2 linked regions of the Daphnia pulex genome follow. The protein of the gene in region 2 purifies or fractionates together with the protein of the main gene of each other region. This does not show direct contact. Links are inferred from orthologs where the notes say so. Each region holds a gene or a part of one and is shown on either strand. Other genes may lie near its edges.

What was found.
Region 1: the proteins of probable tRNA N6-adenosine threonylcarbamoyltransferase (region 2) and EKC/KEOPS complex subunit TP53RK-like purify together in Homo sapiens (affinity purification with mass spectrometry; 5 studies listed by BioGRID and IntAct, counting the BioPlex papers as one, with this or other methods). This does not show direct contact. The link is inferred for Daphnia pulex from reciprocal best matches to the Homo sapiens genes OSGEP and TP53RK.

The regions. Positions count from the first base shown.
Region 1 is NC_060017.1:7,078,383-7,089,920, forward strand, and holds EKC/KEOPS complex subunit TP53RK-like, read left to right. Parts: upstream 1-4,651; 5' UTR 4,652-4,774; coding exon 4,775-4,973; intron 4,974-5,050; coding exon 5,051-5,517; 3' UTR 5,518-5,559; downstream 5,560-11,538. Other genes in the region: uncharacterized protein LOC124196883, read left to right, coding at 438-542, 608-754, 821-1,015, 1,074-1,292, 1,356-1,451, 1,519-1,637, 1,706-1,998, 2,058-3,655; dehydrogenase/reductase SDR family member 4-like, read right to left, coding at 5,646-5,760, 5,827-5,882, 5,956-6,090, 6,168-6,314, 6,382-6,459, 6,531-6,708, 6,779-6,903; U6 snRNA-associated Sm-like protein LSm1, read right to left, coding at 7,288-7,464, 7,528-7,712, 7,772-7,823; GPI ethanolamine phosphate transferase 3-like, read left to right, coding at 8,319-8,624, 8,688-10,738, 10,807-11,026, 11,085-11,237; ornithine aminotransferase, mitochondrial-like, read right to left, coding at 11,453-11,538.
Region 2 is NC_060019.1:5,067,789-5,080,019, reverse strand, and holds probable tRNA N6-adenosine threonylcarbamoyltransferase, read right to left. Parts: upstream 5,203-12,231; 5' UTR 5,019-5,202; coding exon 4,904-5,018; intron 4,828-4,903; coding exon 4,748-4,827; intron 4,675-4,747; coding exon 4,533-4,674; intron 4,466-4,532; coding exon 4,092-4,465; intron 4,008-4,091; coding exon 3,935-4,007; intron 3,883-3,934; coding exon 3,827-3,882; intron 3,759-3,826; coding exon 3,594-3,758; 3' UTR 3,552-3,593; downstream 1-3,551. Other genes in the region: inosine triphosphate pyrophosphatase-like, read left to right, coding at 6,768-6,806, 6,924-7,151, 7,231-7,384, 7,680-7,879, 7,949-8,077; ADP-ribosylation factor GTPase-activating protein 1-like, read right to left, coding at 8,318-8,648, 8,715-8,857, 8,981-9,040, 9,297-9,407, 9,463-9,545, 9,615-9,634, 9,709-9,885, 9,944-10,335 and 1 more. UniProt on the Homo sapiens protein: Component of the EKC/KEOPS complex that is required for the formation of a threonylcarbamoyl group on adenosine at position 37 (t(6)A37) in tRNAs that read codons beginning with adenine.

The sequences.
Region 1 (11,538 bases), on a different chromosome or scaffold from region 2:
GTCTTTTCTCATTTATCCAGTGTGTGAACTAAGTGAATTGAGAAATGTCGCGTTTTCTCAGAAACACAGGCGGGAAAAAGTGAGTTACCAAATCGATGGCGTCGTTGACTGGTTGAGTTTCTTAGCTATTTGAGTGTGTCGTGAAGAGTTCTGAGAGGCCACGCTATGTGATGTCTACTACTTCCCTGACATCTACTAATTTTGCCCCAAATTCAAATTTTCTGAAATTTTGGTGAATCGCCACAATTGCTTTGGTAATGAAATTTAGATTCATTTCCTTTCCTATCGATAAAATTTCGTAATTGACGTGGGATGTCGTTGAATATGGGGATTTTAGGGCGGATAACATTTTTTAAAGGGATTTGTGCAACCAGAAATTAAGATTGTGTTCTTCATTTCAGATTTAAGTGAAAGTGTACTGAACAACTGTTTGAAAAATGGAGAATAAAAAAGAAGACAACAGTAAACAAGATGTGATGGTCTCAAACCTCCCATTGCTGTTTTCTGATGGCAAACCTACATCCATAACATCCATGTCTGTGGTATGTATACTTTTTCCGGGTTTTTGTTTTCGGCCAATAATCATATTTTTTTTTTGCTTTTTCAGGAGGACCTGCAGTACTTCATACCATTTTTGATTAAATGCATACTGGGGTGTGAACCAACTGGCTGGACCAGATATACAAAATTCAAGTGGTGGCCACCTGATGTTCCTTGGTCACCTATAATTCTTACAAAGAAATATCAGACCGAAGTAAGAATTTTCACAAGAGTAAATAAACAATTTATAATTGCAAACCCTCCTTCTTTTGTTTCGCAGAATTGGAGATCCAAACTTACTACTCTAGTGAGAAATTGTTATAATTATAATGGATGTACATATTTGTTGCAATTTTCTGCAAAGTTGCAAACACTCACTGGAGGTTACAAGTTTGAAGACAATTGGGATGGAACAACTTCAATGTATGATAGCACAAATGGAAAGCTACTGGTTACTTTTCAGAATGAAAATATGGTGAGCTTTGTTAATGAATGGGACCGAGTGTTTGTGTTAACAACTTCGTTCTTTTTAGAATTATGACAAGGGTTTCAGACAGCAATCTAGTGCCTCTCGCCCTATGTTACTTCCCCGATTAAACTCTCCGACTAGTCCAACAAAGCTAAATGCTGGAGCCTCAAACACAATGGAAATAGAAGCTCCAACTGCAGCAAAAATGGTTGAACCACCAATTAATGACATCTATTTGTGTGATTATTGTGGTGCAGATTTCAGCTCACTTTCGGCCATTAAGGTACTCTATGCATTATGATTTGTCTCGGTAACTTATTCTTGAACATATTCTCAAATATTGAAGGCCCATGAAGCAAAATGTATGGCTGATAAAGCTTTGGAAGCCCAATCCAATAACATTAACACTTTCACTGAACTAGAAACACGGGACATGGATGAAGTAAACATTTTTATTTTACTATTAACTTTTGTTAGATATTTAAATTTTTTACCTTTCTGTCTCTTAGGCACAATTTCTGTGGTATTTGTCCTTGTCCAGTCGTAGTCAAACTTTACCACCGCCTAATGTTACTCCTGCTAAAATTCGTCCGGTTGTAAGAAGGACTTGTACACTCAGTGATAAGAGGTGAATCCTTAATATTTTATCTGATAACCTTTGATGAAGAAAATGCAACAATCATTATTTTATTACAGATTTACGACAATTCCCTTTTCGTCAAATCTTGGACAAAGCTTCTTCAAGGCAATTAGACTAACACCAACAGCTTCAGAACTCTTGATCAATCGATACGAGCGTTTTTGTATAGCAAAACCAATATTGCTCCGATCAGACCCTCTTACAGGAGAACACACGCAACCACCTATCCCATCAGCAACTACCTCTAATCGCTTTCGTCCAGTTGTGTTTAAAAGAAAAGACGAGTGGGCGCATTCTTACAGCTTCAATAAAGCAGACCGAAGAGAGCGCATGGAGACTATCGCGACGGGTAAACTACTTGAACTAATATTCCATGTGTTTGGTATTAACAATTAATTTTTATTGAAGGATTGAATAAACGCGCCCGTCAGTTACTTCAACGATGTCAAGGTATTCATGTGGTGATGGTTAGGTTAAAACCGGAAGAGATAGATATGTGGACTCGTCCGAAACCTAAACCAAAGCATCCGCCACATTTACTACAGCCGTGGCTACAGCGAAGCATTGCAAATTTACCTGCTAGTTGCACCATCAGCTTGGCTCCTGTTGATTCGCAAAAAACGTTTCTTCGAAACCAACAAGCTGCCTCACCATCATCAACAATTCGCCAAGTATCAAGAAACCATATTTCCGGGAAATCTCAAGCAAGAGCTCCACCAGGGCTTCTTCCTCTGATCACCGGCACTTGGTCTATGCAACCTGTGCAACCTGTCAAACCCAAGCCCACGAAAAACCAGTTCATATTGCCTGATCTGATTCCAGTTATTAACAGACATTCGAAGACGCGTTCCGTTGATCCAGTCATAATCCAAATGCCTTCCGTCTCCTCGCCAAGATCGGTTGCTGCCTCACCACGTACTCAAATGACTTCGAGCGGTAGTATTACAGATATAGTCGATCTTTGTTCTTCAGAAGACGAAGTCGACGATGGCGACCAGCGACAAGGCAGCAAAGATGTGCTGTCTAATTCTCTTGTCTTACCACCTGGTATCTCTATCACCAAAATTAAGAAAACGTCTAGTGGACCTCAGTGCCACCTTCCAAATTCACGGCCGAATGAAACGGCATCTGAAAAGAATAACAACCGATCACGAAGCGTTGCTCAGTGGCTGGCATCAGCAGCTACCGCGCCCCTACCAGTTTTGACCTTCATGGGCCACCACCAGCAAGCTATAAAAAAAGATCTTGCTAGGAGTGGTGCACTTGATGTTTGTTCAGCTGATTCGTCCCTACCCATTGTAACACCATTGAAACTAGCGAAGCTTCCTGCTGAGAAAAGGGAACAGATGAAGCAGTCTCTGTTGAAAATTCAAAAAAAGGAGAAAAAATCACCAACGTCAAACAGTGACTCTAGCAGTCCACCAACACAAATCAAGACGATTCAAACTACAAGCGATGTAACAGATCCACTTCAGCTCTCTCCATTGCCGAGAAGTTCCGTCAGCCCTAAAAAGGAATTTTCTCCACCCCTCAGTGACGAGTGCGAGGAACTGAAACACAAAGGATTAAGTGGCCTTCTTTTCTCAAACCAGCGGAATACTCGACGAAAAAGAGAAAAAGAACCCGATTTTCATAGTTCTGACGAAGAGGATTCACTATCTGATGGTCCTAGCAAAAAAGCTCGTTTATTGGATCAATCCTCGTCATCGAATTGTTTGGCACCTCAAGCGAAATTAATCCGTGGCAGCGAAAATTATTCTTCGGTTATCGAGGTTGATGTAGGAGGACCAGATAACGACATGTTTTCACGAGCAAGTTCGTTTGGATCACTAACTCCAGAGAGTAGACTTCCACGGAAAAGACAGGAATTATTTCGCTTGTTAAACGATGAATGCAAAGAATTAAGACGTAAAGGGCTGGAAGATTTATCTTTTGAAGCGAATTCCAATCATCGTGTCACTCGTTGTCGTACAAAATCCCAACCACTAATGTCCGGAAAACGGTAAAATCTCTTCCTTTTCTACTTTATTTTTGCCTTCCTCTACGACTTCGAGCAAATGCGTGCTCTTCTCCGGAAACGTTGTTTAGTATTCAACTTCTTTCGTAATTGTGCACCCAGAATCTATGCGTATATTTTACTCGCTTCTTGTCCTTCCTATCTTTTTCATTCGATGGCATTTCTAAATCGTTTCGAATGTCATTCATTCATATTATGTTCTCAACCTGGAAGATCACTGCTTTTGTTTTATGTACATAACGACGTTACATCGCCATCCGTTTAGCTGAAGGATTCGTACCTTATTGATTTGTTGTATAAAAGTATTCTAAATTTTCGATGCGATTTACGATGTTGATGTCTCGAAACCAACAAGCTTTGGTCGTTGTTGAGCAGAGGTACTATTGGTATCATTTTCTCCCCGTGTTTTGAACAAGTATTTTGAAAGTCGCGCAAACTCAGAAACCGAGACGTGTGATTGTAACGGTATTTTTAGTTTAAATCATAACCATTCTCTCCTTCTGGTTACTTGAAATAAATTCTTTCTTATTTCCAGTTAGGATATGATTGTTCTGTTCTGAAACCTTATAGATTTCACAATTCGGGTTTGCAAATTGGTTTTCGTTAAAAACACTGTAGCTCCCTAAATCCTTAATGTAATTTAATAACTCGTGTCTTTTGGGATCTTTGGTAAGTTAAAGATGTCATAATTCCACATTAATGTGTAAACAATGTATGAAGTTTCGAATTATCAGACGAATTCGATTATCTTGGCTGCTTCTGAAATCTGAATAAATTCTGTTAGTTAGACCAAACAAAATCGATGAAGATATTGAAAGATATTAATGATAAAATGAGCGGGTAGAGGGAGCAAAAAAAGGAATTGGTAAAATCCCTTGCTTTATCCTATTTTAACAAATTTGTGTGAAAAGAAGTGCGTATTATTTAATGGAAAAAATATTCATTGCCACCAGGTAGCGTGTCAACACCAGATGGCACTGACCGCAGTCGACAGACGGATTGCTTATCTATATGTATGTTCGACAAAAACATTAAAACGTAGTCTGCTACTGCTTGTAGGATCATGCATGGTTCGTGGTAACAGAGCAAGCAATTTGAATCTTGTGAAATGAATATGAAGGAGAGAAATTTCGCCTTGATTAAGCAGGGGTCCGAAGCCAAAATATATAGTGGCACTTTTCATGGAAAACCGTGCATTATCAAGGAAAGGTTTGTGAAGCGTTACAGACACCCACATCTTGACCGGGAAATTTCAACTCAAAGACTAAAAAGCGAAGTCCGCTCACTTGTTCGTTGTCGCCTAGCAGGTAATGTTTTAAAGAATTAACTATAGTTTTCTATTAAGTAATATCATAGTAATCATCACAACTAATTGTTTGATTAGGTGTCCATGCTCCAACTGTGTATTGTGTTAACGTGGAGCTAAATCATATAATGATGGAGCACATTACTGATGGTGTGACAGTTAAAGACTTCATTAAGGATCCTGTGAATCAAAATAGTCTTGAGACATTGGTTTCTACAATTGGAAGTACAATTGGTTTGTTGCATTCCCAGAACATCATCCATGGGGATTTAACTACTTCTAATATGCTGATTCGAGGTGGTGATATTTCTAAAATCACAGTAATTGATTTTGGTCTCAGCTTCATTGACCATTCTCCAGAAGATAAGGGAGTTGATCTGTATGTTCTTGAAAGAGCTATGCTAAGTACTCACCCTAACTCTGAAAATTTATTTGAAATAATTCTTAAGTATTATGCAAAGACAAATAAGAAAGATGGAAAAGAAACTCTAAAAAAACTTGATGAAATTCGTCTTCGTGGTAGAAAGCGTTCGATGGCTGGATAAACGACGAGATCTCGAAATAAAATGCCACAGGATCAGAATTAATGTTTTGTATTTGTTACTTATTATAATAAATCTCTGCATTAATTTGATAAATTTTGAGCCCAAATTGTGTCATCACATTCTATATTTTACAGCCTAGACTGAGCTCCACCAGCAGCAACAATATTTTCTCCAGTTATAAAGGAAGCATCATCTGAGCATAAAAACGAAGCCAATCCACCCATGTCGTCTGGTTGTCCAATCCTGAATTTTGTTAACTCTTGTAAATGAATTGAATATAGCTAAAAATGTACAGGCAAAATATCGTACCTTTGCAGGGGTATGCCTTCCAGGACTTTGTTGCGCACATCGTCATTGTCTACCAACTATCGGGAAAAAATGTAAATAGTTAGCTATAACACCGCTTTCGTAAGGAATTATTTAATGTGGTAATGATACCATTGCGCTGAATTTTGTTTGGATTACGCCAGGAGCAATGCAATTCACGCGAATGCCACTATGTCCTACTTCTTGGGCCAGCACCTTTGTTAATCCCAGTAGAGCTGTTTTACTTACAGAGTAAGCTCCTAGAGCCTTTGAAGGTAAGATATCACAAATAAATTTTGGTATTAGTAAAAATCCAATCAATGATAATAAGATATGCTGTTTACAGAAAATGGTTGAAACCCAGCAATTGAAGAAATAAATATTATAGAACCTCTCCCTCTCTTTTCCATATGTGGAACAGCAGATTTGGCAAGTAAAAATGCTGTTTTGACATTAATATCAAAAATTTTATCCCAGGCATCTTCAGGGCACTGTTTAAAAAGAGTAATTAAGTTTATACTTAGTTGCTAAGTTGTGTATAAACCTGATTTAACTTACACTCAATACTGGTCCAAATACAGGATTTACTGCAGCATTACTTATCAAAATATCCAATCCTCCAAACTTAGAAACAGTCTGTATAAATAGGAAAATAATTACATAAATGAATGAAATGTGATAACAACTTTTAACTTATTTCAAAGTACATCTTCTATCAGTTTTTCCCTATCTTCTTTCAATCCAACATGGCAAACCATGCCAGTAACAGTTAGTCCTTCTGTTTTAAGTTTTGCTACAGCAGCATCAACATTTTTCTGTTTTCTACTGCTTACAACAACTTGTGCTCCGTCTGAAGCTAGTCGCTTGGCGACAGCAAACCCAATTCTAAAAACAAAAATGGTAATTCAGATTAACGCTGATAAAAGGTTATAGATGTTATTGTTATTATACTCACCCATCCGTTGACGCAGTAACAATTGCAATTCTTCCATCTAATTTTTTGGCGGTCGAACTCATTTTCAATGTCGTCGTAGTAAAAAGAAAGCGTCTAGTTAGCAGGCCAGCACTTTTCAGTATCATAACGATAACAACAGATATAGCAATATATATATAGCAATATCTTCTCAATCAGCCAAAACAAGTGTATGGACTTTTATCCGAATGACAACACTGACAAGAGCTGTCAATTTCAAGTGGGAGGAGCTTACGAAATTTTACATTCAGTAGCCAATCATGAATGCTAGTACTTGGCTTATTTATCACACCTGAAAATTAAAATGTCGACAGGAACTAGTTTTATACTGATAGTTTTGTATATTGGCTAATTAATCTCATTAGAGTTTTCAAGAAAAAGAAGTTAATTTTACAATGAATTTTAAATTCAGTTAACCAAAACTATACAAAAGGAATCGTTTATGTTCTTTCCTGTCACGAATCAAAACAATTTCACAGCAAGCATCAAAACTAAAAAGCATCATCATGAGTGTAATCTGCAACAGTTGACTGAAGTCCTAGTTCTTTAAGTCTCTTCAATCTAATTTTCTCCTTTGCTTGCTTCTCATCTTGCTCCAACCTTTGGGCTTCAAGGATCTCCTCTACACCAACTTGCTTAAGGGGGATTCTTTCTTCTTTCTCCAAATCCTGAATTCAGAAAAGGGACTGTTATAATGTCTGCAATCACAATCTGTCAAAATTTAACATTACGATTTCTCCCAAAAGAGCAACATTTTCTCCTCTGACAATAAATACTCCTCGTGGAATGTCACCATACTCTTTACCAACATGAATCCTCTCAATAGTTCGATGCAAAACCAAGTTAGCAAATTGATCAACACTACGGAGGTATCCTATCAAAGTTCGGCCATCACGTAGAACGACTATAACCTTTTCTAAAAATAATCAAGCATTAGTTCATGACATCTACATGGTTCAATTCAGAAAAATTTACTGTCTAAATCTTCAAGAAGAGTCGCCGTCCCCGGTAATGAAGCGACATTCATTTTCGAAATTTCATCAGCCTATAAAACAAAACTCGTGCTTTTAGTGCAGTTGGGTCAAGAGTGCATGCGTACGCGTTTCTCAAATCGTCTGCAATCGTCTACGAATTTTAAATTGTAGATGTAGAAGCCTTGAAAATTGAGTCATGCAGCCAGTGACCCCTAGGCCAACGTTGAATTGATTGCGTTTCCATGATATTATTCGAATTCCTTTTTTTAAATATTAATCGACCTTTTAAAATCCCGGAAGTAAATTCTTTTCAATATTTTTTAAAAGAACCAAAGAAAGAACGTTTAATTTGCAAGAGCGTGAAGTAGGGATGTTGTTTAGCACTCATGTTTACACATTTCTGATAGTTTCGTCTGCAGGTAAATTTGAAACGATAGAGACGAAATCACGAAAGTTGCAAAGTTCACTGAAGAAAAATGATTTAGTCTACAATATATGTGCAATTTTTGCATGCTATATTTTAAAAAAGAAAAGTATTCAAATCTAAAATGAAAAAAAGAAATTTGCTTGTTTTTTCCTGGCTCATTTTGTTGTATGCAAATGGGGTGATGTACTTTCTTCAAGGGTTTTTGTTAACTCGCCGAGAAATTCATCTAAAGTCCGCAGCGTTTGACGGTGTTTCTTGTTGTTTGGAATCAAAATACGAGAAAATCATCATTCTTATCATTGATGCTCTTCGCTATGACTTTCTTGTTTACAACAATTCCACAAACAAGAGTAGTATACCAATCTACCAAAATAATCTTCCTGTTGTGGAAAAGTTATTGAAGGATAATCATGGTGTGCTGTATCAGGTATGTTTACAAAATAAGCATTAGGGGATAGATGAATGAGTTCTAATCTAATTTTGTGTACAGTTTGTTGCAGATCCTCCCACTTCTACAATGCAACGTTTAAAGGGCATTACCACTGGATCTTTACCTACTTTTATTGATGTTGGGAGCAATTTTGCAAGTGATGAGCTCAAAGAAGACAATATCCTCAGTCAGATTACTTCGTCAGGATTAAATATTACATTTATGGGTGACGACACTTGGTTGCAGTTGTTCCCAAGGTCTTTTCAACGTGCATTTCCTTTCCCATCCTTTGACGTGTGGGACATTCATACTGTTGACCGAGGAGTGGAACAACACTTGGTGCCAGAAATGATGAAACCCGATTGGAATTTACTGATTGCCCACTGTCTAGGAGTTGACCACACTGGTCACCGTTACGGTCCAGAGCATCCTGTCATGCCCCTCAAGTTAAAGGAGATGAACTCTTTAATCGAAAAAATCGTAAGCAACATGAATCCTCAAACACTACTCCTAGTCATGGGTGACCACGGAATGACACGAAGCGGTGATCACGGTGGTGACAGTCCAGATGAAGTCAACGCCGGTTTTTTTGCATACAGCCCAGGATGGAATATCAAATTCAACACCTCCAGGAAAACATCAATCAACCAAGTGGATCTTGTACCAACCCTGTCAGTACTGCTGGGCATACCAATTCCGTATTCAAATTTAGGTTCTGTAATATTAGACCTTGTTTTTCCCGAGCAGCTGTGGAGAGAAACTCACCCCAGTGAAGAGCACATTATGAAAATAGCACAGTCATATTTCTCCGAAGCTCTTTATTTGAATACCAAGCAAATCTGGCGTTATTTGGAAACCTATAGCCGTGATTCGTCATTTCCGAAGAAAGAATTCGAACATCTCAGCAGTCAGTTTGACCGTGCTGTCCATCTTTTCGAACGGTTACAAATGAAACAGTGTTCCAATTCGTGTACCTCCGATTCAAGTTGTTGCGCTCCGGACGAAAAACTCGAAGAATTCATTCAAGCAGCGCAGATTTTCCTCACTGAAGCTAAAGAAATATGCCGTTCCATGTGGGCTCGTTTCGATCTAACGTCCATTTCCATTGGATTGACAATTTTTACTTGCTCACTGTTTCTACATGCGAATTTTCTCATCGAATCCGAATTGAATTGGATGAAACCTGTCAAATATTTCGGTATCATTGGAGCCTTCCTCTCCATCTTAGTGCACAGTTGGTCTTCTGTGTTGACTCTTGGATTAAGTTTAACACCAGTGTTCGTTTATTTGGTTGGGACTATGCGGAAGATTCGACTTCAGCAGTTGTTTAAATTTGCTTATCTCGCCCCATTTGTCATGGCTGCTTCCTACACTTCAAACAGTTTCGTTGTTGAAGAACCCTACGTCGTTCACTACCTGGCACAATCATTCATCTGGATTCCGATGTTCTTCAGACGCCAAACGAAAAATCGTCAGTGGATACTTCGGATTGCATTGAGTTTGACAACTCGATTAGGATTGGCTTTTTTTCGCTGCCGTGAAGAACAGTTTCCTACTTGTGAAGCCCACAGCCTTCACAGGAGCCTCAATAGTCTTTCTGGAACTAACTGGATAGTCTTTGCAAGAGTGTCTACAGCTTTAGTGTCCTGCATTGCTTTTTATCTACTCTACAAACGATACCTTCCGTTTGACCGCAAAAACCTATTTATCGTCATGATCGTCTGGTGCTATTGGATTTTACAAAGTGCGTGTTTTCTGACCGACAGTGACACAATTGGACTCGTGTACCTTCCAAGATTGTTCTACATTGTGTTTATCGTAAAACTTTGCCATGATATTTATACGTTTTTATTCGATAATGAACTGGGTAAGATGTCAAACTATCGCAAAAAGATATCTCATCTGGTCATTCTACTGTCAACGCTGGCCATTTTGTTAGCTGGTGATGGCCTGGCCCCAGGTATTATTCTGGCACTGGCCAATCTTGTACTATTCTCTCAACTCTTCACCGGAGAAAGTAATTGCGGAGAGATGTGGCCTCTTTATGGACTTTTGTCATTGCATGGTTTCTTTGCTGGTGGACATCATACTAGCCTCGCTAACATTCCATGGTAAAAATATTATATAATATCAATTATAGTAACTTTTTCCACCTATTTAATTATTTTTTGGGTTAAAGGGAAACTGCTTTTGTGGGTTTATCCCACTCCGATAGCCAAAGTGAATGGGCTAACGTGCTGCCAGTTTTGTTTGTCAGTTATAGCACGGCGTTTTCTATGCTCCTACACGCCATGTCCGTCCCGATCGTGTCACTTTCGAACGTGACACGAAAGAACAAAGACTCGCAAATGTTATTAGTTAATGGCTGGCTACACTTTTTGTTTTTCCATGCTGTGCGCGTGAGTAGGAAAACGAAGATTAAATGAAAGTTCTAATACTACTTAATTTTATATTTAGTTGTTTGGCTGTATGGGCGCTGCAGCATTACACCGCCGCCACCTGATGGTTTGGAAAATTTTTGCTCCGCGACTTCTCTACGAGCTACTTTTCGCTGTTTACACTTCGTTGGGGATTGTTGCATCTTTATTCCTTTTTCAGGCAACGATGTAAATATATTTCGTTCTTATCATTTTCAACCCGAGACAATCGATCAAAAGACAAAAAGTATTCAAAGAGGGAAATAATCAATTGAGGGATTGTCCGTTGCCGGCTTTTATAAAGGGAAACGATTACAACAGAAAGGAAGCCCTTAGAGAGAAAAAAAAAAACATTATTGAATGGAAGAATTTATGAAAAGCTTAATCATTTTTTCTTTCTTTCTTTTTTCACTTGACATAGGAGTGAATAACTTTGCGGATGATGGATACACATTCCAGCATTTCCTTTTCATTGATGACCAGTGGTGGAGCAA
Region 2 (12,231 bases):
CGCGGACATCGAAAAAGCCTTTCTAAAGTCTTCCTGCACGTGTCGGACCGTGATTTCATCCGCTTTATGTAGACCAGAGATATCAGAGATTCCGATGCAGAGCTAAAGGGTATCGCTTCAAACTTCAAAGTCATTCCGTTCGGAGCCAGCTGTTCTCCATTTATTCTCCTATCAGTCATCAAACATCACTTACAGTCTTTGCCGTCGCCCAAGCAGTTGATATGGATCTCAACATCTATTTCGAAAATCTTATTTCAGGATGTTACTCAACGGAGGAAGCAGATATGCTGTGTCAAATTCCATTCTCAACAAAGCCGGACTGAATCTTAATCTTGGAGTTCCAGTGATCAAGCTATCAATGTCCGTGCTGTTGAAGATGGTGTAGCCGATCCTTCCACCAGCTCCAAGATACTGGGTCTAAACTGGGATCGTTCTATACCGACTCGCTATTCCTTCCCGTTCTGGTTTTCCACCTTCAGCCACGCTACAACAACAAAGCGTGATATTCCTCACAGTGGCATTTCCAGAGTTTTCGATCCCATGGGATTCTTCGCTCCTCTCACAATCGCAACAAAAATTCTAAACCAAGAGCTCTCGAAAGAGAAGTTCGACTGGGACGATCCACTTCCTCAAAAGTTCCGTGAACGTTTTAGTAGAATCGCAACTGACGTTGACAATTATCATCGAGTCGTCTTCCGCTGTTATCTTGGACGACACTACGACCTTCAGAATTTGCATCTCTTCGTGGACGCCAATTCACACGTGTTTGGAGCCATAGCTTATTTTTGCAACCTGGATCGTTTCACCTTCGGTCTCTCCAAATCAAGAGTCGCTCCATTGTTAATCCAGGGAGGAGTATAGAGGAGAAAGCAGTCCTTTCCCGCGCTGTAAGGGATAGTGGTCCGAGGAGTGGAAGCCGCCCGCCAGTTGGCAGCACAATGAGGTAGAGAGGCAGTTTTTAGCCGTTTCCCCATAAGCTTCTGTGGAACAGCTGACTACCCGTCGATGATTTTGTTTAATAGCAGGGGTTGTATGCATTATTTTTGAAAAACACTTCTAACAAAAAGTAATCAGAATTAAATTTCCGATTTTTGTAATTATTTTTTTTTACATAAAAAAATCGGAAATTTAATTCTTCAGCTTTTGTGTCTCAACACGATCTTTTTATCAACGACGACGATATCATTTGCTGTAAAGGCCGTCTCCAGCACTCTAGAATCAAATCCAGTGCAAAGCATCCGTTTCTTCTTCCAAAATCCTGCGACTTGACTCCTTTGATAATTCTTTATCATCACAAACGGATGTTCCACTTCGGCGTCGACGCCACCTGTTCCAGTCTCCGTCAACGGTATTGGATTCCATCCATCAACCAACTTGTACGATCCATTTTATGCAGCTGCGCAACTTGTCGTCGAGTGAGTGTGAAACCCTAAAGAGCCCAAAATCACGCTCCGCTAACAGCATTCCGAGTTAGCGATACCCCCACTTTCAGCGTTGTTGGAGTCGATTACACCGGTGCCTACAAAATTCGAAGTCTTTCTCCAAAAGATGCTCAAAAGGCTTATATTTTTTTAATCACGTGCACCAGCACCCGAATAATTCATCTTGAATTGGTTGAGGATCTTTTAGCTCATTGTTTCCTACTCGCCTTTCGTCAATTCGTGTCTCATCATTCTTTGCTGTCGATGGTCATCTCTGGCAACGCGACAAATTCGAATGTGGCGCTTATGTCATCACGAAGAAATCGTCAAGATTGGCTACGTTGTTCCCCTACACGATGAGTCTCCTCGTCATCATTGGAAGTTGGCGGTAATTGAAAACTAAATTTAAAAAAAATGATGGCTACGTCAGAGAAGCTGAAATCCGGACAGCTTCCAAAAAAACCAGCCGACCAATTCCGAACTTGGAGGTTTCGGACTCAACCGAAACTATTGATATCCAGCAACCTATCGATTCTTCGCTGGAACAGATCCAGCCCATCAGTACGTCCCGTTCGTCGAACTGCAGCAAAGGCGAATCAACTCATCAAGCAGATGACCATGGACGAACCAGAAGAAGATTGATTTCCGCCGGCCCGGGAAAATGTCGAAATTCATGTTTCACATTTCATCATCTCGATGACTCTTCTCTTTTTGTTCACCCTTCCTGTCCCGATGTTCGCAAATCAAATTTACGACAATAAAAAGGGAAGAAAAGCAAAGAAAAGTGAAAAAAGGAAAACAAAAATGAAATTTACAATACAGGCTAAAAGAAGGTCGCACGCGAACGACTACTAACCCTCCTCTAGGGCTGTGGCCCGGAGGTATTTGGACGGTTTTTTTTACATGGGTTACCTAGATGGTTTTTTTAAACACGGGTTTGAGCGGGTTGGGCCAACAGCGTAAATGGGTCCGCCCCGGGTCGCCCCACGAATCACAAGAAACTTACCGTCCGGGTCACGGCCCGGGTAAAAATTGGGTCAAACACACTTTTTTTTTACAAACTTTAAAAAATTTCCTAAATTTCTTAATTATTTTCTTCCAACAGTGACACGTCAATGATGTCTTCTGAACACCCCTGAACGCTCTTTTCTACCACTTCTTTTATCCTACTTTTACGAAATTCTCGTTGAGCATTTGGCGGCAATATTTTTAGGTCTTTCTCGAGGCCTCAGGCATATTGAATAACAAGCTTCTCTATGTGACTACTAGATGGCGCCACCACTCGGGTTGGCCCGAGGACCCGCGGGTTCAACCCGTCGCCCGCCCCGTACAAAAATTGCCTCGGTGGGTTGATATTTTTTGGGTTCTTTTTTTTCTTTAACCCGAACAGTGGCCCGGGTTTTCATGGCCCGGGCCACAGCCCTACCCTCCTCCCCATCCCTACTCTTACTCTTACCCTACATACCCTTTTATTTTCGCTTGAAGGAAAGCCTATCTCAAAAGTAAAAGAGGAATAAAAAGCAAGGAAAAAAGTATACTAACAAAATAAAAAGCAAATTTGAGTTGCGATCCCCTTGATTTTGGATGTTGAACGCCAAACCTCAAAATGACGCCACAATTTCCTCCAACATGAAATCAGCGAAAAGGATGTGGTTGTAGGCCTAACTGCCGTCGTGTAAACATAACCTTGATCAGTTGATCGCCTTTTCATTCAGCGTCGAATACTCGTGGAGAGTCAACGGCGTATGTTTTTGTTGACTTTTCTTTTCTGTCCTCTTACCTGATTGAATACCATACCCGTAATTTCAACAAATATTTTAGATGTAGCTAATATAACAAAGTGGGCCTGAATGACTTGGAAAGAAAACATTTGGGCACAAATTTGGTCGGCATTCAGTCCTGAACGTTAAGGCCTGAATGTCGGACACCCTGATGGCCAATGTTCTGGTAGAGGTGGGGGATATAGTAGGGTGGTGTCATGTCGACATGCCGAGCATACCATAAACTTTGATTAACGCAGCTAGTTTGTTTAGGCATTTTTAAAGTTATTATTGTTTTATTATTCATCTCCAGTTTACCTCCACTTCATCTATTCTATATCGTTGCGTGCAAAATGGGCATAACTTTGTCTTTGATTAACGCAGCTAGTTTATTTAGCCATTTTAAAAGTTATTATTGTTCATCTCTCCAATTTACCTCCACTTCATCTGTTCTATATCGTTGCGTGCAAAATGTGTTCTTCCAAGAGGTGACGGCACCAACTCTAAACATTTCTGCTCCGGCATGAGCTATCATGGCCCCGTTGTCTATACAAAATCTTTCATCCGTTGCAAAAACCTTAAAAGAAAACAGAAAAGCCATGAACAAAATTTGTTGTGATAAAATTACACAATGATTCAACAAACCTTAGCTCCTCGTTCCTTGCACATTTCAGACATCATTTCTTGAAGTCGAAGATTACCTAAAAACAAATCCTTAGATGACAAGAATAATATAAAGAAAATGAAACCTACATCCAACGCCACCGCAAATCAACACTTCTTGCGATCCACAATGCGCCATTGCTCTCTCGGTTGTTTCAACAAGCTATAAATGTACATAAAAAAGAAACGGAAGTATTCAATTGGAAATTAAATGTAATTTTAGTTGCAATGATTTTGGCATGTGTACCATAGCAAAAACAGTTTCTTGCAGTGAAAAACATAGATCTTCCACAGAATATTCTTGTAAAGTTGCAGCAAAATCTTCAATGTGTGTCAAGACTCCAGAAAAAGACATGTCCATCCCTTTGACAATGTATGGCAATGGGACATAAATTTTCCCATTTTTTGCCAACTGCTCAATATTGTGCCCAGGGCTTGGATAATTTGACAATTTAAGAATTCTGGCAAATCTATCCAAGCAATTCCCAACTGCAATGTCTATTGTTTCCCCAAATATTCTATAACGTTTCTGGGAGTATGCAATAATTTGAGTATTCCCTCCACTAACATAGAGAACAATAGGATTTTTTGCGCTTGTGATTAATCTTGCCATTTCTATGTCTGCAATAAATGGAATGATATTTGAGTCCAACTAAAATTAGCAATATAAAATTTAAGAATTAAGTACGCCCGATGCAATGATTGACACCAATAATTGGCTTTCTCCATAATTGTGAAATTGTTCTTGCAAACACAGCTACAGACACCAAAGGAGCTCCTAAGCCAGGTCCTTTGGTGTAACACACCACATCAATTTCTTCTGGATGAATCTGAATTATAAATGATTTATTTTTTTGGAAGTGAAATACGAGTTTCTCACAGTCTAATTAAAATGTATCAAACCTTAGCTTCATCCAAAGCTTCTTTCAGTAAGAGGACAATATTTGACTGATGATGAATTGCAGTATCAACAGGTTTAAAACCTATAATAAATGTCATAAGTTAAAAAAAAACAATACGCATTATTTTTCGTGTTTAGAACTTTTGATGTAATGAAACCTTCTCCAGGTGGTGTAATAAATGTTCTCCTGGGATTTGCTAAAACAATTCCATCTTGAATTATTCCAATACCCAATTTATTTGCACTACCTTCAAAACCTATCGAAACAACCATATTTCAATGAATATTTATAATATGGAACCTCAGACTAGTGCAACTTTAAAAAAATGACTACAATCGTCGCAAGAGCGTGTCAGATCATCAGAACAGAAGCTGATGTATAGTTATTAGTTAGAGTAGTCCATGTGTAGAGAGTCAGAGAGTACAGACAGAGTCAGAGCAGTCAGCAGACGACAGCGCTCCAAGGGCGTCCCTAAACTGCGAAAGCGAAACGCGAAACGCGAAACGCCTAAAATGCGAAACAGCTGTGCGAAACGGACCCAAAAGTTGGGACCCTGTTTCGCATTTTAGTCTTTGGGTCCGTACTAAACTGCGAAATCGGTGTTTGCGAAACGTCGCAGTGCAAACGTCTTGGTAGCAGACGACAATGGACGCCGTCAACAAAAAAATTGTTAAGAGTTTCAAATTTTCGAGACTTCGAGTTTCGCGCACCTTATGGCTGGTCTATTTGTGTGTTGACTATGAATACGGAATACCTTGAATGCAATATGCAATAGGTGTTTTTAATTAGAAGATTGGTATAAAAAAATTTATGGAACTTCTCGTTTCCATGTATCAGTATCAATCAGATTAACATTCTTAATTTTAAGGGAAGTTTTAGTTGATTAAATTTTAGCTTGATTTGGAACATGGTAGCTTTGATTTTTAGCTTGATATAAGGCACTCATACTGTTATGACCGATTATTTCTTTGTGCACGTATCTACTGGTTGATTAAAATTATTTAATGTAATGTATAATCCCTGGGCCATTACCTAATATTTTATTATTTAAAAATATCACCATATCGTGCTGCTCTATGTCTTTCATTAGTTTAATAATCGTAAAATGCGCATTAAAACATACAGGGGTAGTGGCGAAGAAATCGAATTTGATTGCCCCCCTTCCTCCTTTAATGCCTCATCATAGCGGGAGACAATGAAAAATGGCGGCAATCTCCGTCAATTTGGACCTCTGTGGGGAAAAGGAAAACTATTTGTTTCGCAAGATGTTTCGCTCTTTAGTATGCCCTCCGGCATTTGGTCCCGCGAAACGGTTCCAAAATTTTGGTCCGTTTCGCACAGCTGTTTCGCATTTTAGGCGTTTCGCGTTTCGCGTTTCGCTTTCGCAGTTTAGGGACGCCCGCGCTCCAATGTTCCATTTAATAAATCATCGTGAAAAATTCTTAATGTCCCAGAAAGTAAAATCAGAAACCAACCGAAATTAAAAAAAAAAACTAGCAAAAACTTGCGACTTGCAAATCACTTCGAAAAAACCAACAAAACTCTTGACACAGTGACACAGTGCTGCACTGGACCGCGGTAAAGAGAGAGAATGGGAATTATATTTGGCGATTTTTTATGTAGTCCTTTAGCGTAATTTTTTGAAACAATTCCCATTTTACTATTTTAGTAGTAAACCCAACCCGTGCCAGACCCGTGCACACAGCACGCTAGTGGGTGTGCTCAGTAATACGGAAACGGAATATGAATCTTTTATAGCCCTTTCCGATAATGAAAGAAAACGATAGTGAAAGATTTATTTCATATTATTCGTCACGAATCAACTATTCGATAGTAACAAATGAAATAAACAAATGAAATATTTTTTCTCTTTTTCCCAATTTTTTTTCTTTGTCAAGGAGGGTGGGTTTAGTTAAAATGGGCATGGCATGGCATGTCTTAAAATGTATTGTATATTTGAGTATTTGTATTGAAAGTAATAGGACTGTAGGAGTAGGACTCTGGAAATTTGAAATTATTCTATGCATTTTGCTATTCTACGCATTGTGGAACCAGCAGAGGTAGTACCAGTGTGGCGACATGCCCCTCTTGTCTCTTGGCGCTTAATTTAAAACAACGAAAATATGATATTTTAAATTTTACGTTACCGACGAAAAGTTTATTTTTTTGACAACTAGATGGTTTCCGACTTTGCGTGGCTTTACTTGGAGGAAGAGAAATGGAGGACAAGAAAAGAAAGTAAAATCGGCTTCATTTTCCCAACACGGCGGTCTGATTTGGCCATATTTTGGCTGACAAAAGTGACAATTGATAACATGTCTGTGAGACCGATCACTTTCGTCACCGGAAATATAAAGAAATTAGAAGAAGTAACAGCCATTCTAGGATCCAACTCTTTAATTAATGTATTGTTTTATGTCAAAAGTTTTGTGGGTAGATCATGTACTAACAAATGTGTTCAATGATTTTAATTGCATGTTAAAGGTGGTAAGACAAAACATAGATTTGCCAGAATACCAAGGGGAGAACCCAGAATATATTGTGAAAGAAAAATGTCTTGCTGCCTTAAAATTGATTAATGGGCCAACTCTTGTGGAAGATACATGTCTTTGCTTCAATGCCCTTCAAGGGTTGCCAGGTACATAAATAAAGGCTAGTTTAAGTTTTCCTATTTTCATTCATTATGACTAATATTGTTTTTGATAGGACAATTTGTCATTATGATGTAATATATTATACTATATGAATATATTAATATTCACCTTTGTTCTTGAGGCAGTCAGGCCCATTTTGCCAGGCATATAATAGGGGCATATGCCCAAATGGCAAAATGGGCCTGACGGCCTCAAGAACAGCCCGACGGCCTCAAGAACGGCCTAACGGCTTCAAAGAACGAACGTTTTGTTTTCATAATATATTTTTTTTTTTTATAGGACCATATGTCAAATGGTTCCTTGCTAAAATTGGACCTGCTGGTCTAACAGACCTTTTGTCCAGATGGGAAGATAAATCTGCATATGCATTGTGCTTATTTGCTTACTCTGAAGGAGTTGGGGAGGAAATCCATATTTTCAGTGGGCGTACAGAAGGTGTAATAGTAACTCCAAGGGGCCCACAGGATTTTGGTTGGGATGTGAGCTGAAAATGTTAAATTATGTAATATATATTTATTCTTTAATTGCTTTTTTCTACATTTGGTCAGGCTTGTTTCCTGCCAACTGGATTTGCTTTAACTTACGCTGAAATGGAGAAAACAATTAAAAACTCCATATCGCATCGGCGTCGAGCACTTGAAGCTATGAAACTTTATTTTAGCAATAAGTCTTCATGAAATAGGAAGATATGTTCAATAAATTTGTGTTTTCCTTCCAGAAGCAATATATTTTTTTTTTTCACTTTGGATTGAAGACATATTTTGCCTAGATGGTACAATCTTGACAGTCCCATAATATTAAGTGAATGGTAAACTTACAGAGAACCTAACAATCAAAAAAGAAACATTGGAAAGCATCTTTTGAGACAATGAATGGTAAAATAGCAAGGGAAAAAATGCAAGTTTTAAATGAACAAATCAGCTGTTAAGCATATCCCATGCTTCTTCTTCAGCAGTTTTGGTTTTAACTGCAGTGACAGCAGGAGAGGAAGTCTTCTTAGCAGCATTTGTTTTCTTTTTGTCACCAAAATCAATTAAAAGATTGTCACCATTTTCAGATGAGTTACGAGATGTCTTAGTAGCGTTTTTACTTTCACTTCTATCGTTATTACTTGCAGCGTTTGACCAGACCCATTCACCTGAATCTTCACCTTGACCACTTTGAGAATATTCATTGACACTATGTCCCTTAAACCCCTGACTTACAGAAGAAGCTGGTGACATCAAATTGTCTTGGTAGATGGGAGAACTGTAAAAGAATGATTGATTCATTATATTAATTAAAAATGCTATTAATGAAATATATATTCCTCACCATCCACCAGACAATGGTGCATATCCTCCACTGGTGCTTCCAGATAGAAGCGAAGATCTTTCCCCTGACACTCTGGGAGGTTCATCGTAATCACTGCGAGCGGAAGTAACATTCGCCCATCCTTTCCTACTAATCTCAGTAACCTGCACCAATGCAAAGAAAAAATATATTTCTAACAATAACAATAACACCTTTTACGTGAACTTTACTACCTAATATTGTACACGAATTATACATTAACAAAAAAAACTTTTAAACGTACAGACCTTAGTAGCAACACTCGTTACCGACGACGCGACATCGTCCAATAATCTCCCTTCTTTTACCTATGCATGACGAAAAAAAAAGTCTTAAATGAAGTCCTCACTTCTATCACGTCAGGGATTAAAAACTCGTTAACATTAAAAAAATACTGGAAATAAATAGTCAATGTGAACATGGTTACTTAAAATAAGAAATAGAACAGTCCAACAAAATTCATGTTTAACATTGGATGATTGAAAGGTAAACAAACCCTCAAGCGGCTTTCCTAAACGGCAACACAAATGCACAAAAAATTAAAGTTCATTTAAGGTACATTACTTTTTCTCCCACAGTTTCCGAGACCTGGACAACTTTCTGAGAAGCAATTTCACCGAATTTTAGAGCACTTTCAGCTAGTTTCGACGCTCCAACAGAAAACATTGACCAACCCTAAAGAATTGGGAATTATTAAATATTCATAAGATAGAGTAAACACAACAATTACAGTGGCAAGCGAATCATAAACTTCGGTAGATGAATTTCTTGGTGGGACATATGCAGAATTTCCAAAACCTGAATATTTTCCCCCTTGAAAAACAAAAATAGGTCAGGAATAGATAATTCTAGTTGTACATCATACAGCTTATAGTTGAATACCTTGAGATGGCGGGAGATTGCTAAGAAATGAAGATAAAAATTACGCTTCTCATAAAACTAATCAACAAGATAAATCTGCAAAACTCGTACTTACTCAGGCCGTCCACAATTTTCTAGTTGTTTCATGGAAAAAAATGCTTCTTTTTGATCTTTAAAATTTTGGTATCCACCAGCTGATCCAAATGATGATTCAGGTTGCTGATGCAAATCTGCATCAAAATTTGGAGTAGAAGAGCTGCTATGAAGGTTTCTATTTGTTTTAGATTCCAATCTAAATTGGACAAACTGACATTATTTTATCTCATACTTAACTGTTTACGATATATTACTGTGAACCAGCATTGTATACTGAAGAACTTCTTGAAATATTGGCAGTTTGATAATTTCTAGCATCAGATATTTCTATGTCCCATGTTTTACCAGCAGCTAAAGCAGAAATTTTATCTCTGTAAAGTGCTGCTGCTCTGGTGTTATAGCGCTGGCCTAGTGGCATTGATGTGTTCCAATCTGGCTGGGTCTCAAAAAAAAGTCTGGCATTCAAATTTCCACCCACTTTCATCTTTTCCAATTCAATATCCTTCCATTTGTCCATAGTTATTGACCTAACAAAGGATAAATGAACACCAAGTCCTCTGTGTTTGCCAGAGCATTCAAGACAGATCCATATTCCATATGTAACAGATGCCCACTGTGGATTGTGAACTGAACATTCAAAACATGTCTATAATGGGAAAAAGATAAAAGCAATTGAAAAATTGTGTCAATATTATGAGTTAATTATTATTTGCTGCCAAAAATAAAAACAAATCTTACACTATTGTCATCCTTTGGTCTAATTTCTTGCAAAACTCTTCGAGTTCTTGGACTTGCCATTGGATAGTTGAACGAATAATGCGATCGATATGAAATATTGATCCGGAAGTTGCTTCACCAGTTCACCTTCCCCAATTTAAGGTTTAAGAAGAATTCAATTTCTCTTTCCTCTGACTGCCAATATTGGGATGATGTGTCAAACCATGCATTACTTTAAAACAGACCATGAAACTACTAATTCAAAAGATTCGTGTTTGCTTTACAAAGTACACATTTTATGGTTACCGTTCAATAGCAGGGGATTTAAAAGTGAGTTGTAGTTTAAGTTATAAATCTCCTCCTTCAAATTAATAAATAATAATTTTTTAGATATTTTAGTAATGAGTATAGTGTGGCTGTCCATTAGAGAACGCCATCTAGCTTAGGTTTTTCAAACATCATAATTAGGTAAAAGAGATTGGTCAAGGAAACAAATTTTCCTTTAATATTTCCCTATTATTTAATATTTTTGCTACTAGTTAAGAGTATTATAGCAATGTAAAAAGGATAATTGGGGATAGACACTGGTAACGACTTTTGGGTTGCTATTGGACGAAAGCGATATCATAGACATCTTAGGTCAGATTGTGAACTGGACGGAGAAATATTTTATTGTGAACTGGACGGAGAAAGAGTACCATGTAAGGATATAGGAAGGCCTCTGCGAAATGTCAGCTATATATTGAAGGCCGAGAAGCACGACTCGTTATCATCAACTGAATTAGAGTTCTGTCGAATGGAAACGTTTGAGCAAACGTTTCCATTCGACGGATTTTTATAGGGCTGTCGGGCCCAGTGGCACTTCGCCACTTCCCTAGCAAGACGGTTTTTTTACAACGAAAAATACAAGGTGGATTTCGTCACGAAGACCTCAACAAGGGTTCAACGGTATGCAAATGAACGGGAGCGCCCGTAAAACGCGTTCAAAAATTTTGAGTTTTACGTGGCTGACGCGCAGCCCAAGCCCGCTGGAAGGGGGTCGACGGGGGAGGGGGGGGGGATTGCACGCACCACTGGAAAAGGGGTGGATGAAGGGCTGGGTGAAGGGGTGTTCGGCAGTACTATACCACACGACTCTTAAATGAAAAACTATTAATTTGGTTTTTCGATAGTGGAAAATATGTCTTGTTGGGGAAGTGCCGATGAACCAAAACTGGATCGATAAAAACGACCTGTGAGAAGAGCACGTTATAAAAAATATCTTAAGAGCCATGTGCAAAGCAATGTTTGGTTCCATCGACGGGAAAAACTGAGGATTGAGAGAAAAAAAAGAAGTGTACAAATCTGCTGGATTCTCAACTTCGTCATTTAAAGGAGCGACAATTGTGATGTATTGAATGCGATCACAGATGGCGCACGAAAGGCTTACGCCAGAGGGCCACGGAGTGAACGGCATTCGAGTCGAGAGTAGAGTTGAGGAAGGTCTTACCGTTCCCGTCTTGTGTATTTCATACGCCTTGTGGACTTAGAATACAGTGTCTAACGCAGACTTAACATGGCGCAGTTGGTCTCACGCACCTACGATTGCTAAACACAGTGGTGTACTTTTTTCGTGACTCTAGTGAACCCTGCGTTTCCCTGTGTTCCTCGCCCTCAGTGTTCGACTTTCGTCCATGCGGCCCATGTACGCCGCCATCTTGCCTTGACGATCGAATCCCCACTCCTGATAGTGCAGGAGGCCACTCTGTCGGAGGCGTCACTCATGTGCCGGTCCCCGTACTGTTAGTTGTGCGGCATTTCAGATTGCTTTGAATTTTCTCGATTT